Regions from separate parts of the Mus musculus genome. Here all the other regions are reported to be linked to region 1. Evidence: microRNA targets listed by miRTarBase, many of them from high-throughput screens and not tested one by one. Region 1 holds a microRNA gene; each other region holds the end of a gene's coding sequence.
Evidence for each region. Region 1 holds the annotated microRNA mmu-miR-188-5p (CAUCCCUUGCAUGGUGGAGGG, at 2,829-2,849, opposite strand). A microRNA usually pairs through its seed, bases 2 to 8, with sites in the 3' UTR of a target mRNA and lowers its output. Matches are read on the target gene's strand: a 7mer-m8 pairs with bases 2 to 8, a 7mer-A1 pairs with bases 2 to 7 and ends in A, and an 8mer does both.

Region 2: miRTarBase lists Ubp1 as a target of mmu-miR-188-5p. Seed matches in the 3' UTR shown: 7mer-m8 at 1,414-1,420.
Region 3: the mRNA of Il21 is a reported target of mmu-miR-188-5p. Seed matches in the 3' UTR shown: 8mer at 2,809-2,816.

What each region holds. Positions count from the first base shown.
Region 1 is chrX:7,245,203-7,249,354 of GRCm38, forward strand. It overlaps Mir188 (microRNA 188), which reads right to left and starts at 2,854; the gene lies at 2,787-2,854. All of the region lies in intron 2 of Clcn5 (chloride channel, voltage-sensitive 5), which reads right to left. Mir532 (microRNA 532) reads right to left here and starts at 3,295; the gene lies at 3,200-3,295.
Region 2 is chr9:113,974,870-113,978,869 of GRCm38, forward strand. It overlaps Ubp1 (upstream binding protein 1), which reads left to right. Exons shown (of 16, transcript NM_001372510.1): 16 at 477-3,158. The coding sequence ends at 514. It overlaps Fbxl2 (F-box and leucine-rich repeat protein 2), which reads right to left. Exons shown (of 15, transcript NM_178624.6): 15 at 2,089-4,000. The coding sequence ends at 3,964. Among named protein-coding and RNA genes, the nearest start is that of Ubp1, 46 kb to the left of the region's middle.
Region 3 is chr3:37,221,964-37,225,963 of GRCm38, reverse strand. Il21 (interleukin 21) reads left to right here. Exons shown (of 5, transcript NM_021782.3): 4 at 438-515; 5 at 604-3,205. The coding sequence ends at 627. It overlaps Gm36168 (a long non-coding RNA gene), which reads right to left and starts at 1,567. Exons shown (of 4, transcript XR_389693.2): 1 at 1,476-1,567; 2 at 524-731.

The sequences.
Region 1 (4,152 bases):
TGCCTTTGGCTACTTCTCTCATACTTCATATCCAACATCAGAAAATCCAAATTGCTCTACATTTGAAGTACATTCATAACTACATTTCACCACTGTCAGCATCACCACCTCCCCAAGCCTGTCGGACCTCACAATACCTATATTATTTCAGTGGCTTCCTAGTAGGCCTCTGGAACTCTCCTGATTTGCCCAGTCAAAACGAGGGTTATGAAACAATTAAATATCTAAATCCCTAATAACTCTAACTTTGAATTATAAATAAGAACTTAAGCTGAATAATATATTTTATCTATTACTAACAGTATGAGACAAACATTTTGTTAATACTATTGATCATGAAGAAGTTTAAAAACAACTACCAATCCAGATGCAATGAGAACTCTGATGCCCACATAATATATGAACTCTAATACGTTATCTGACTTAAGGAAACAAATGCTTGTTGAAAGCATGTCATATGTCAGAGTGATGATGACAATGAGTAAGAAGCACTGTTGCATCCTTGAAGGCAGAGAAGTTATCAAGTAACTACTAGAGCCAAAGGACTGAAGGCCAACTAAGCTTGACTTTCAGCGACAGGGTCTATATTGGCACAGTACTCACTAAGTGGCCTATGGTAGCCTCAAACTTGCAATGATATTCCTGTCTTCATACCTTAAGTGCAGAGTTACAGACATGTGACACCATATTTGAAGAAGCTCACACTGGCAGAAGATGGAAGATTTGGGCTTCACTGCAGAGAAGAACTGCAATGAGGGAAAAACTAAATACATTTAAATCCCTGTGTTTATCAAAATAGTTTTTGAATGCATATCTTTGCAATAACTCATTTTTAGCCCTGATAAGAGAGTCAAGCATTTACCTTTTCTTTCTTAGGAAAACTGTTATTAGTAGGTAATCAAATAGTAAATGAGGGGAAGTTTTTACTTTACAGAAGTTACCCAGCAATTAACAGGAGGGTGAATAGTGGAATGCCACCATTCTACAACTGCTAATGAAATAATGGCTCTAGGATTTGAGCATCAATGGCAAACTACCGTAACACACAAAGACCTGTATCTCTGAATGGAGGCAGTTCTTTCCTCCCCACAAATTAAGCCTGAATCTAATAAGGCTCTTGGATACAACTCTCAATTAATAGGAAATGCAAATAAAAGGAGCATGGAAGCTACATCAGAGGAATGTGCTCATAAAAACACAAGACTGTGGAAAGCCACGCAGATATATGACCTACTTTCTTCCAACAAATAAGTATGAGGAAAAAGGTAAAGACGGGCTTATAATTCAAAGGCACTTAAAATACTGGCCAATGAAATTAATGCAAGGGTCTTATTTAGATCCTAGTTTATGATACCTCCAAAAGAAATGGAAATTTGAACAATGGATATATGATGTCAAAGAATCGGTAATTATTTCTAAACATGATAATGGCACAATGACTTTTGTTGGATTACAAAAAGAAAACAATCCTTCCTTTTGTGCAGATTCACACTAATCATCAGTGCTCTTCCCTCCATCTGTGACTGAAGCCTTCCACACTTCTGCTGCTGCTTCAATGGCATTGATGCTCTCAGTACACAGCAGCCTTTCCTAAAGGCTCCACTGGAAACTGAAATGCCACCACTTTCCCTACTATTGTCACTCCACGCATTACATACTTGTTTCCCTTGCTTTTTCATTCTCCTGGGCAACAATGACCCACTGCGTGTTTAATCATTTTGTTTACTGCCTTCATCTCCCTAATAGCCCTGATTAGTGCTGTGTACGTGGGTGCATAGGAAAATACTCAAAGTAAAAAAGATAACCAAGCGACATTTGCTGAATAGCCTACCAAACAAATCAGCTGTGAACCCTGGGTCTGGAACAGGATGAGGAAAAAAGTTCCAGCTTTCAAGAGAAAGAGTTTCAGTATCAAACAAAAAAGAACTATCCAAATAAATGTCTTAAAGCTATCATACACTCTCCTGCACAAAGAAATATATATGTGAGAAAGCAGGACACAGTGCGGGTTTTTCCACTCCCTGAAATCTAGTATATATGTGAACAAATGCATCTAAAGAAGTACGTGCAAATTTCCTCATAGCATAAGCTTATGAGAAATAGCTAGATGGCTTTCTTTCCAGCTAACTTGAGAATGAGAGTCCTGAGAAGGCTCTCTCTGCTCCCCTATATACAGGAAAAGCAAGACCAGGACAAAAGACTTCCCTTCTTTCTAAGCAATAACTGTCACCAAAGGTAAGGGTCCATACTCTGTACAAAATACAATACAAAATTAGAAGGTAAGAAGGCTGGAAATATAACTCAGTTGATAAAAGTATGCCTAGAACTCACAGAACCCTGGGTTCCATCCCCAGCACAGCAGAAACCAGGCGTACATTCCTATAATCCTAGCATTCAGGACAAAGAGGCATGAAGATCAGAATTGGAACATCAAGCCAGGCATAGCCACTCCAGTCTTATATCTAGCACTGAGAAGGCAGAGGCAGGCGAATTTCTGAGTTTGAGGCCAGCCTGGTCTACAGAGTGAGTTCCAGGACAGCCAGGGCTATACAGAGAAACCCTGTCTCGAAAAAAAGTGCTCCATCATCATCCTTAGCTATGCAGGGAGTTCAAAGGCAGCATGGGACACATGAGCCCTCCCTGGAGAAAGAAAACTGTGAGATGTGCATGTCAGGTGGAAGACAGGACAGATGGCTGTTTCCTTGGGTATGTGGGGTTTTCTTTATGAAGTTGTGTATGCATATGTCCACCATGCACAAGAGAGCAAGGAAAGCTGAAGCTCACCATCCTGCAAACCCTGCATGTGGGAGGGGTTTTCAGAGAGCTCACCCTCCACCATGCAAGGGATGTGAGAGAGGGAGCAGGGAAGGGTTCACTCTCTTGGCACAACAGGTAGGTACTTTCTATGGAAAAAGCAACAGAAAGCAGCCCAGGGATCACGCAGAAACAACAAACCAGCTACATGAAACTGATGGTGGGTAAGGCAGGAGGAACACACACATGCGGACCAAGAGGGGCATTACAGGCAGGAAAGTCACTTGGAAGAGATAGCGAATGGCAATGCTGTGTGTATATATATACATATATATATATGTATATATATATATATATATGCGCCACACAGAGAGCACATGAGAGAGAGGAGACATGTCTTTGCTGTAGATGTATATGCAGTCATGCCTATGCACAGGAGAGAGAAGAGAAGGCTTGCTCTCCTGCAAGCCTTGGGTGTGGGAGGGTAATTAAGATGTCAACGGTCCTACACTCAAGGCATGGAAGAGAAAAAGCAAATCTGTAGGCGTGCTCTCCTGTGTACAAATCAGCATGCATGTACAACAGTGTGTCTTTGTCTGTGTTGTATGTTGGTCCTGAAAGGTATGATGACTGCCTTAGACATAGCACAATGAAAAGGTGTATTTGTGAACATGCACATATATGCCTTTAGGAGTGTTCACTTCCTATGGACTATTTGTTTTTATACTCTTAATTATTCATTTTATTTATTCACTTTATATTCCACTCACTGCCCCCTCTTCCAGTTGTTTTTAATATTCTTTTCTTTTTATTCCCAATGCCAGTTTATATTTGCTCTTGGTAGAGTATTAAGTTGTGGTAATTTGTTAAGCTCTTCTATGTTTCTTTTTTTTAAATTAGATATTTTCTTTATTTACATTTCAAATGTTATCCCCTTTCCTGGTTTTCCCTCTGAAAACCCCCTTTGCCATCCCCCTCCCCCTGCTCACCAACCCACCCAGTCCCACTCCCCTGCCTTGGTATTCCCCTATACTGGTGCATCGAGCCTTCTCAGGATCAAGGGCCTCTCCTCCCATTGAGGTCCAACAAGGCCATCCTCTGCTACTTATGCAGCTGGATCCATGAGTCCCTCCATGTGTACTCTTTGGTTGGTGGTTTAGTCCCTGGGAGCTCTGGGGCTACTGGTTGGTTCATATTGTTGTTTCTGCTATGGTGGATGCTCTCATCCAACCACTGGATGAGAGCATTCACCTGAACCTCCACATAGCTAACACACTCCCCTCCCACATTCCTGAGCTAAAATTTATTAAATCTATATTTTATCTTTGCTGTCCTGAACCCTTTTGGGCAGCCCTTCTGGGGCCACCTTCCCCTTTGTGTAGTCTCCCCTCCCCCAGC
Region 2 (4,000 bases), not on the chromosome of region 1:
CATGTCCCCTGGAGAGCACGTACCTGTGAGTCTGGGGAGCGCTGCAGCATTAGCTCCCACAGGGTCTCTCCAGCCTTAGCGCTCTCTGTCCACATGGACGCCTTCACTGAGTCTCAGGACTTCCTGAGGCCATTAGGTCTTGCTATATCTACCTCCGAGGGTTCAGTTTTCCAGCAAAGAGACCCATCTACAGCAGAACCTGCAGGCTGCCTGCACATTTTCTGCAGGGCTTTCTCAGCTCTGCCCTCACATGGTGCTTTGGCCTATTTTGCGTTAGCATACAAGTGCATCTGCTGCTGCTCTCTTAAGCCCTTGCCCTGTAGATAGAGCTGGCAAATGATGCAGGCTGGGCTCCCTGAGCAGAGTTACAGGGAATGTGTCTGAGGGAAGAGGAGCTAGAACAGTGCAGTCAGTTTTAATACTGTATCTCTTCTAAGCTTAGAAGTTTTAACACCCCCCTCTTTTTTTTTTTGCAGCTGAAAATAATGATGGTATTCACATAATTTTGAAGTGATACCTTAAACGGACTGAACTCTATCCAGTACCAAATAAAGTCATGCTTAAAAGTGTGTGAAGACTGAATCCAAGAAGTCTTGGGATTGGATTTTACTGTGAAATGTTTCATATTGAAAACACAAGATGACCTTCCTAAGGAGCTGCAGGAGAGGCAAATCTCCTCAGTGTCACTGCCACAGCCCCAGCATCCTCGTGAGAGAGAGAGAGAGAGAGAGAGAGCCTGTGCGAGCGAGCGAGCATGTCAGGTGACATTCGACCCAGCTTCTACCGTGGTGGGCACAAGTACTTGCTTCCCTGGCAAGGGCCAGTGGACAGAACCCCCCAGAGCAGTTGCTGCTGCTTTTCACACTGTATGCAGTTTGAATTGAATGTAAAACTCAACCGTGGGCATTTACCTTTCTGTGCCAGTTTGGCTTTTGTTGCCTGAACCTTATGCTGGCCTGGGGAGGAGATAGAGTTGCCTCTGGGGGAGCTGCTCTGTACTGGGTGACACGGCCGTATGGGTCAGGTAAGAGGCTTAGCTCCTTCCTGAAGGTGGACATCAGAGGGGTCCTGCTAGACCCGAGCCGAGCCGAGCCGAGCCGAGCAGATGAGCAGACTGCACTCCCTGTCAGCCATTCCGTGTGCGAGGTCAGTGTAAGTCCTAATAGGTACCGAGGCTTGGGCGTTTGGCTTGGGCTTCCAGTTTTAGCATTTTAGTTTCTGGATTTCACCTTTGAAACCTCCTTGCCTTTTAAACTCATGTGGTTTCCTTTTCTCGTCTCCCCACCCCCTACTTGAGCCTCCAGGTGTGTATACTCCCTTGTCTTGTGCCTACTCTGTTCTTAAACATGTCTAAAGCCCTTCCCAGACCTCAGAACTAGATGATGGGGAAACAGTATCATGTCTCTGATATTAAAGGGATTTTTTTTTTAATGAGACAAAATTACCCTGGAAACACTAGATGTCATAACAAGACACTAAAATGTATCATAAACCTTCCCCCCGCCCAAATACCGAGTTTCAGTACAATCATGGCTAGATGGTGGCTGGTGGGGGCTCTGTACTCTGCATCGTTCATGCTTTGTCTGTAGCAGGTGTGCCTGTGAGTCACGCGTGCACACGGCCATCACCTCTCCTCTCTCTCACGACCTCTCGTGAGGCCTGTGGCATATCCGAGTTTTTAAAAACTTCTTTCCATTTTAATTCTGTAGCATCTTTGCCCATTTGCTTAGCTGCTGGCTGTGAATGCGCTTGTCTGACCCTTGTTGTTCAGGTGGGTAGGAATAATTACATTTTAAATGAAATCTCTTCCAGAAGACAGACTACTTCAATGGGTAAAGGCTTTAACAGCTTGTTTTATTCATACTGGGGATTAATTACTTGCCACAAAACAAACTGTCTCGATAATTTTCCTCTTGGGTTTGGCAGTGCTGTAGCCTTGCAGGCCCTTTAGGAGGGAGCGCTCCCATCCGTCCTTCCCTTTGCTTTGTGTGACCACATGCTTTCTGTACCATTCACTTACTTGGGAAAGAAGTGGACTTATCTCCTAATTGTTTTAGAATTTTGCTTGTCTATTTAGCTTTCCTTTTTGGATCTCATGATTTATGGAACAATAAATGTCATTTAATGCTGTGTATTATTTTGAATTCATTATCAGGTTTTAGAAGTGGGGTGAAAGTACTTACAGGCTCCTCAGACTTGAACTTGTGCTGAGCAGCACAAAGTGCTAGGCCGTCTCAGTGAAACTATACCTGGCCCATGGCACCAGCAGTCTGCTACTTTGGTTATAGGATGTACAGTTCAGTGTAATAAATGTTTTCTGATTGTTTTGTAAACGTGTCACTCATTTCAAATCTAAGCTGCACTGTTGTCATCTGAAGTCACATGGACTCAAGGGTTGGCCTCGATGTGCATGGTGTAAGATGTTCATCCCAATTTCCACAGAGGTGATGCAACTCAAGACAAGTAGTTACAGTAAGTGCCTGCTGCATACTTAGAAGAGACAGATCAGGCTCGAAGTCATGGTCACTGAGCATCAAGTCCACCATCTGCAATGAGCCACATCATTCTAGCTCAGAAAAAATTCCATAGTTGTCTCGGGTATTTCATAGAAGTGAGTCTCACGAGTCACTGGAGCAGGTCTAGTGCTTACTTAGCAGCTCCTCCAGCAGCCATGCCCCACCCCCCACCCCCCACACAGCGCCACAGTTAAGTAGCTGTTGTGGTAGTCGTACCCTTCGTATCACAGTACTCCTTACAAGGAGCCGTTCGCCTGATGAGTCTCTGGAATGTGTGTGTATCTGCTTTCCCTCCCAGAGTGCATCGGAGACACTGCATCTATGCAGATGCTTCAGTGCTGTCCACCGAGGCAGAAAAAGCTCTTTCTTGCAGTTGTGGTTGGGGTGGTTGCTGGAAGGTTCAGCTACCATTATTAATATTGAAGGTGGGAGGTCTCAGTGGCACAGAGCAGCAGCACCGTAATAGTAAAAGACAGCATCCTGGGACAGGGACAGGAGTGCCTGCATTTGCAAAAATCTGACTCCAGTGAGCAAGGTGAGGTGTTGTGAGTCTGAAGCTGCAAATACGTCATTCATTTGACAAGCTTTAAAACAGTTATGATTTCTAAAAATTCAGAGTAAATAAAAACCACATCCATTCTACATGCATCTGTTTGTTATTTTTACTTGATTATAGATAACTTGAGCCTTAATTCTGGATTTGCTTAAGGTTCCCGCAAATTTTTTGAGAAGTGTGGATGGACATAATTGGCTTTTTCCTTTTAACAGAAATGCACTGTGTGCTGTGGCATCTGGCAGAGCTTGTAATTCCCAGCGGATCAATGCAAAGGGGGTGGTTTTGGTCCCTAGAGTTGGGTATGACGAGTTGACACAAACAGAAAGGTGAAGATCCTGCCCCACCCAGCTTAGAGGCCTTGTTTCTTTGGTGTCTTATGGAAGTATGTTAACATGCCTTTCACACACACTTCTACATATGAAACTACCAGCCATTCTGAGTTTGCAGTACAATCACGTTCATAAAGGTGCTATTTAGTCTTTAAAGTGGACAAGTCCTGCAGATGGACAGAAATTGCTGTGAATTACATTAGGCCACTGGCTTAAGGATCAGGTAGAAACCAGCAGGCTCTTTTACTCTGCTCAGGTTGTGCTAACACTGAAGGTGTATATATAGAATGCTGACAAAGCCAGGTGGGACTTGTATACATAGGTACCCACCTCTGATGGGCTCTAGGTTGCACCACACCACTCTTGCTGTGGATGACACAGACCTGGATTTGCTTGCATCCTAGCAGTGTTAAGGTGAATAGCATTACCAGGTACTGTAATCTGTGCTGAAGTCTTTTACCTGTAATGTTTTCACCATGGAGAGTCGAGATAGGGTGACGATGGAACAGCCAGGAGACTGGTCTAACCTGGAGGATGGGGCCCGTGGCCTAAGCAGCTGCTGTCAGAGTATGACACAGCATCTGCACAGTCGATGTCCA
Region 3 (4,000 bases), not on the chromosome of region 1:
TGCAGGGTGGGGGTGGGTGGGAGGGGGAGCGACAGAGCAGCCACCACAAATCCTGCCCTGAAAGCATATCTAAAGCCCAGGAAACCCTTGTAATTGGTTAAAAACTAACAGCAAACAGCATATAACAACCAGGGTAACAAGAATGCAGAGGAGGAGGAGGGCGAGGAAGAGGAAGAGGAAGAAAGGGGACAAAAAACGGATATAATAATTTAAACACCAAAATATTCAGAGTTGTCTCTGAGGATAAAATCACACGTGGTTTCCAGAACAATTTTACAGAATTTTCCTAATGCTTGTTACTGAATATGATTTATGTTCACAAGAGAAGAAATGAATTTTACATAAGTATTTTATGAAGTATGAAGTTAGTTCTTAAAAAATAATTTTTAAAGTTTTAAAATTAATTAATTAATTAATTGATTAATTTTGATTTACAGAAATGCCCTTCCTGTGATTCGTATGAGAAAAGGACACCCAAAGAATTCCTAGAAAGACTAAAATGGCTCCTTCAAAAGGTATGCACCTTAAATGCATTTCTTTCACTTCCATGTTGTGTCCGGGTACCTCCTGTGCCCAGTGACTCATAGGCTCTCGTTCCCACAGATGATTCATCAGCATCTCTCCTAGAACACATAGGACCCGAAGATTCCTGAGGATCCGAGAAGATTCCCGAGGACTGAGGAGACGCCGGACACTATAGACGCTCACGAATGCAGGAGTACATCTTGCCTCTTGGGATTGCAAGTGGAGAAGTACGATACGTTATGATAAGAACAACTCAGAAAAGCTATAGGTTAAGATCCTTTCGCCCATTAACTAAGCAGACATTGTGGTTCCCTGCACAGACTCCATGCTGTCAACATGGAAAATCTCAACTCAACAAGAGCCCAGCTTCCCGTGTCAGGGATTTCTGGTGCTTCTCAAGCTGTGGCTTCATCTTATTGCCCAACTGTGACATTCTTTGATTGGAAGGGGAAAACTAAAGCTTTTAGCAAAAATACAGCTAGGGAATTTGTCGATCTGCGAGAGTAAGACCTCTTATGATCCTAACGGAATGATGTAAGCTGGAAATAATAAGCATAAGATGAAATTGAAAATTGAAGTCTTTATTCTTTAAGAAAAACTTTGTACTTGAAAGCATGTCTGAAGAGTTTACTCATTACCACAAACATCTAGCATATTGATAACTAACATCTTTATACTCTACAAGAGAGGCTTTCCAGATAGGTACAGTTTTTCTTCTCTATTAGGTCTATCAAAATTTAACCTATTATGAGGGTCACCCCTGGCTTTCACTGTTTTTCTAAAGAGGCAAGGGTGTAGTAAGAAGCAGGCTTAAGTTGCCTTCCTCCCAATGTCAAGTTCCTTTATAAGCTAATAGTTTAATCTTGTGAAGATGGCAATGAAAGCCTGTGGAAGTGCAAACCTCACTATCTTCTGGAGCCAAGTAGAATTTTCAAGTTTGTAGCTCTCACCTCAAGTGGTTATGGGTGTCCTGTGATGAATCTGCTAGCTCCAGCCTCAGTCTCCTCTCCCACATCCTTTCCTTTCTTTCCTCTTTGAAACTTCTAAGAAAAAGCAATCCAAACAAGTTCAGCACTTAAGACACATTGCATGCACACTTTTGATAAGTTAAATCCAACCATCTATTTAAAATCAAAATCAGGAGATGAGCCAAGAGACCAGAGGTTCTGTTCCAGTTTTAAACAGACTTTTACTGAACATCCCAATCTTTTAACCACAGAGGCTAAATTGAGCAAATAGTTTTGCCATTTGATATAATTTCCAACAGTATGTTTCAATGTCAAGTTAAAAAGTCTACAAAGCTATTTTCCCTGGAGTGGTATCATCGCTTTGAGAATTTCTTATGGTTAAAATGGATCTGAGATCCAAGCATGGCCTGGGGGATGGTTTTGATCTAAGGAAAAAGGTGTCTGTACCTCACAGTGCCTTTAAAACAAGCAGAGATCCCGTGTACCGCCCTAAGATAGCACAGACTAGTGTTAACTGATTCCCAGAAAAGTGTCACAATCAGAACCAACGCATTCTCTTAAACTTTAAAAATATGTATTGCAAAGAACTTGTGTAACTGTAAATGTGTGACTGTTGATGACATTATACACACATAGCCCACGTAAGTGTCCAATGGTGCTAGCATTGGTTGCTGAGTTTGCTGCTCGAAAGCTGAAGCAGAGATGCAGTCCTTCACAAAGCAATGATGGACAGAGAGGGGAGTCTCCATGTTTTATTCTTTTGTTGTTTCTGGCTGTGTAACTGTTGACTTCTTGACATTGTGATTTTTATATTTAAGACAATGTATTTATTTTGGTGTGTTTATTGTTCTAGCCTTTTAAATCACTGACAATTTCTAATCAAGAAGTACAAATAATTCAATGCAGCACAGGCTAAGAGCTTGTATCGTTTGGAAAAGCCAGTGAAGGCTTCTCCACTAGCCATGGGAAAGCTACGCTTTAGAGTAAACTAGACAAAATTGCACAGCAGTCTTGAACCTCTCTGTGCTCAAGACTCAGCCAGTCCTTTGACATTATTGTTCACTGTGGGTGGGAACACATTGGACCTGACACACTGTTGTGTGTCCATGAAGGTTGCCACTGGTGTAAGCTTTTTTTGGTTTTCATTCTCTTATCTGTAGAACAAGAATGTGGGGCTTTCCTAAGTCTATTCTGTATTTTATTCTGAACTTCGTATGTCTGAGTTTTAATGTTTTGAGTACTCTTACAGGAACACCTGACCACACTTTTGAGTTAAATTTTATCCCAAGTGTGATATTTAGTTGTTCAAAAAGGGAAGGGATATACATACATACATACATACATACATACATATATATATATATATATACATATATATATATATATATATGTATATATATATATATATAGAGAGAGAGAGAGAGAGAGAGAGAGAAAGAGAGAGAGGTTGTTGTAGGTCATAGGAGTTCAGAGGAAATCAGTTATGGCCGTTAATACTGTAGCTGAAAGTGTTTTCTTTGTGAATAAATTCATAGCATTATTGATCTATGTTATTGCTCTGTTTTATTTACAGTCACACCTGAGAATTTAGTTTTAATATGAATGATGTACTTTATAACTTAATGATTATTTATTATGTATTTGGTTTTGAATGTTTGTGTTCATGGCTTCTTATTTAAGACCTGATCATATTAAATGCTACCCAGTCAGAACAACTGTCTGTTGTGATTCTCTGAATGTCCTTAATGCAACCAACCTGGTAGAAAAGGTGGGTGCATAGGTTTTATATGGCTACAGCACAGATGTTTACTTCTTATTGACTGCCACTAAGATAGAAGTATCCCGTGTTCTTGCTCAAAGACCCCACTCTCTTTGCAGACCACCCTCTGAATGCCTGGCAGGCTTGAAGTGGTTGAAACTTGCTTGTCTCACAAGTGTGTCCCATGTAGACTGCAGTTCTGGGTTCATGTCGCTCTCATCTGGCCATCTGTCTCTTATTCTCAATGTTTCTTGTCTGCGTCTGTGGGTTACCAGGCTGTGCTCATCAAGGACTTAGGTATGTTCCTTGCCAATCTCTGCTCCCCTCTCAGGTGACCTCAGTGGGGAGGATTCTCAGTGGGAAACTCCCAGAACCTTGACCATCTCCATGTGAGCACTTGTGTACTTTACCCACTGCCACTCTCATGGTCACAGCCCAGACTCTCACGCATGGAAACCTGTCACCTAGCTAGACCATCATATTCCTACTGCCTCTGTACCAGAAGCCGGGCCTCCACACTTCCAGACCCCTCGGCACTCACCTGCTCTGGAGGCCTGGCCACTGAGTCCCTGGAGCCCGGAGCCACAGTCAAGCAACACATAGTGCCTCCACCTGCTCGGGAACCTGTCTGTGGAGTGCCCACCTATCTGATGGTCTACTTCATATTCGAACATTGGTTCTGGCTGCTCACCTTGGGGAGCATTTTAAACACCCTCCATAGCTACTGGAGTCATTTCCCTCCTCTGAC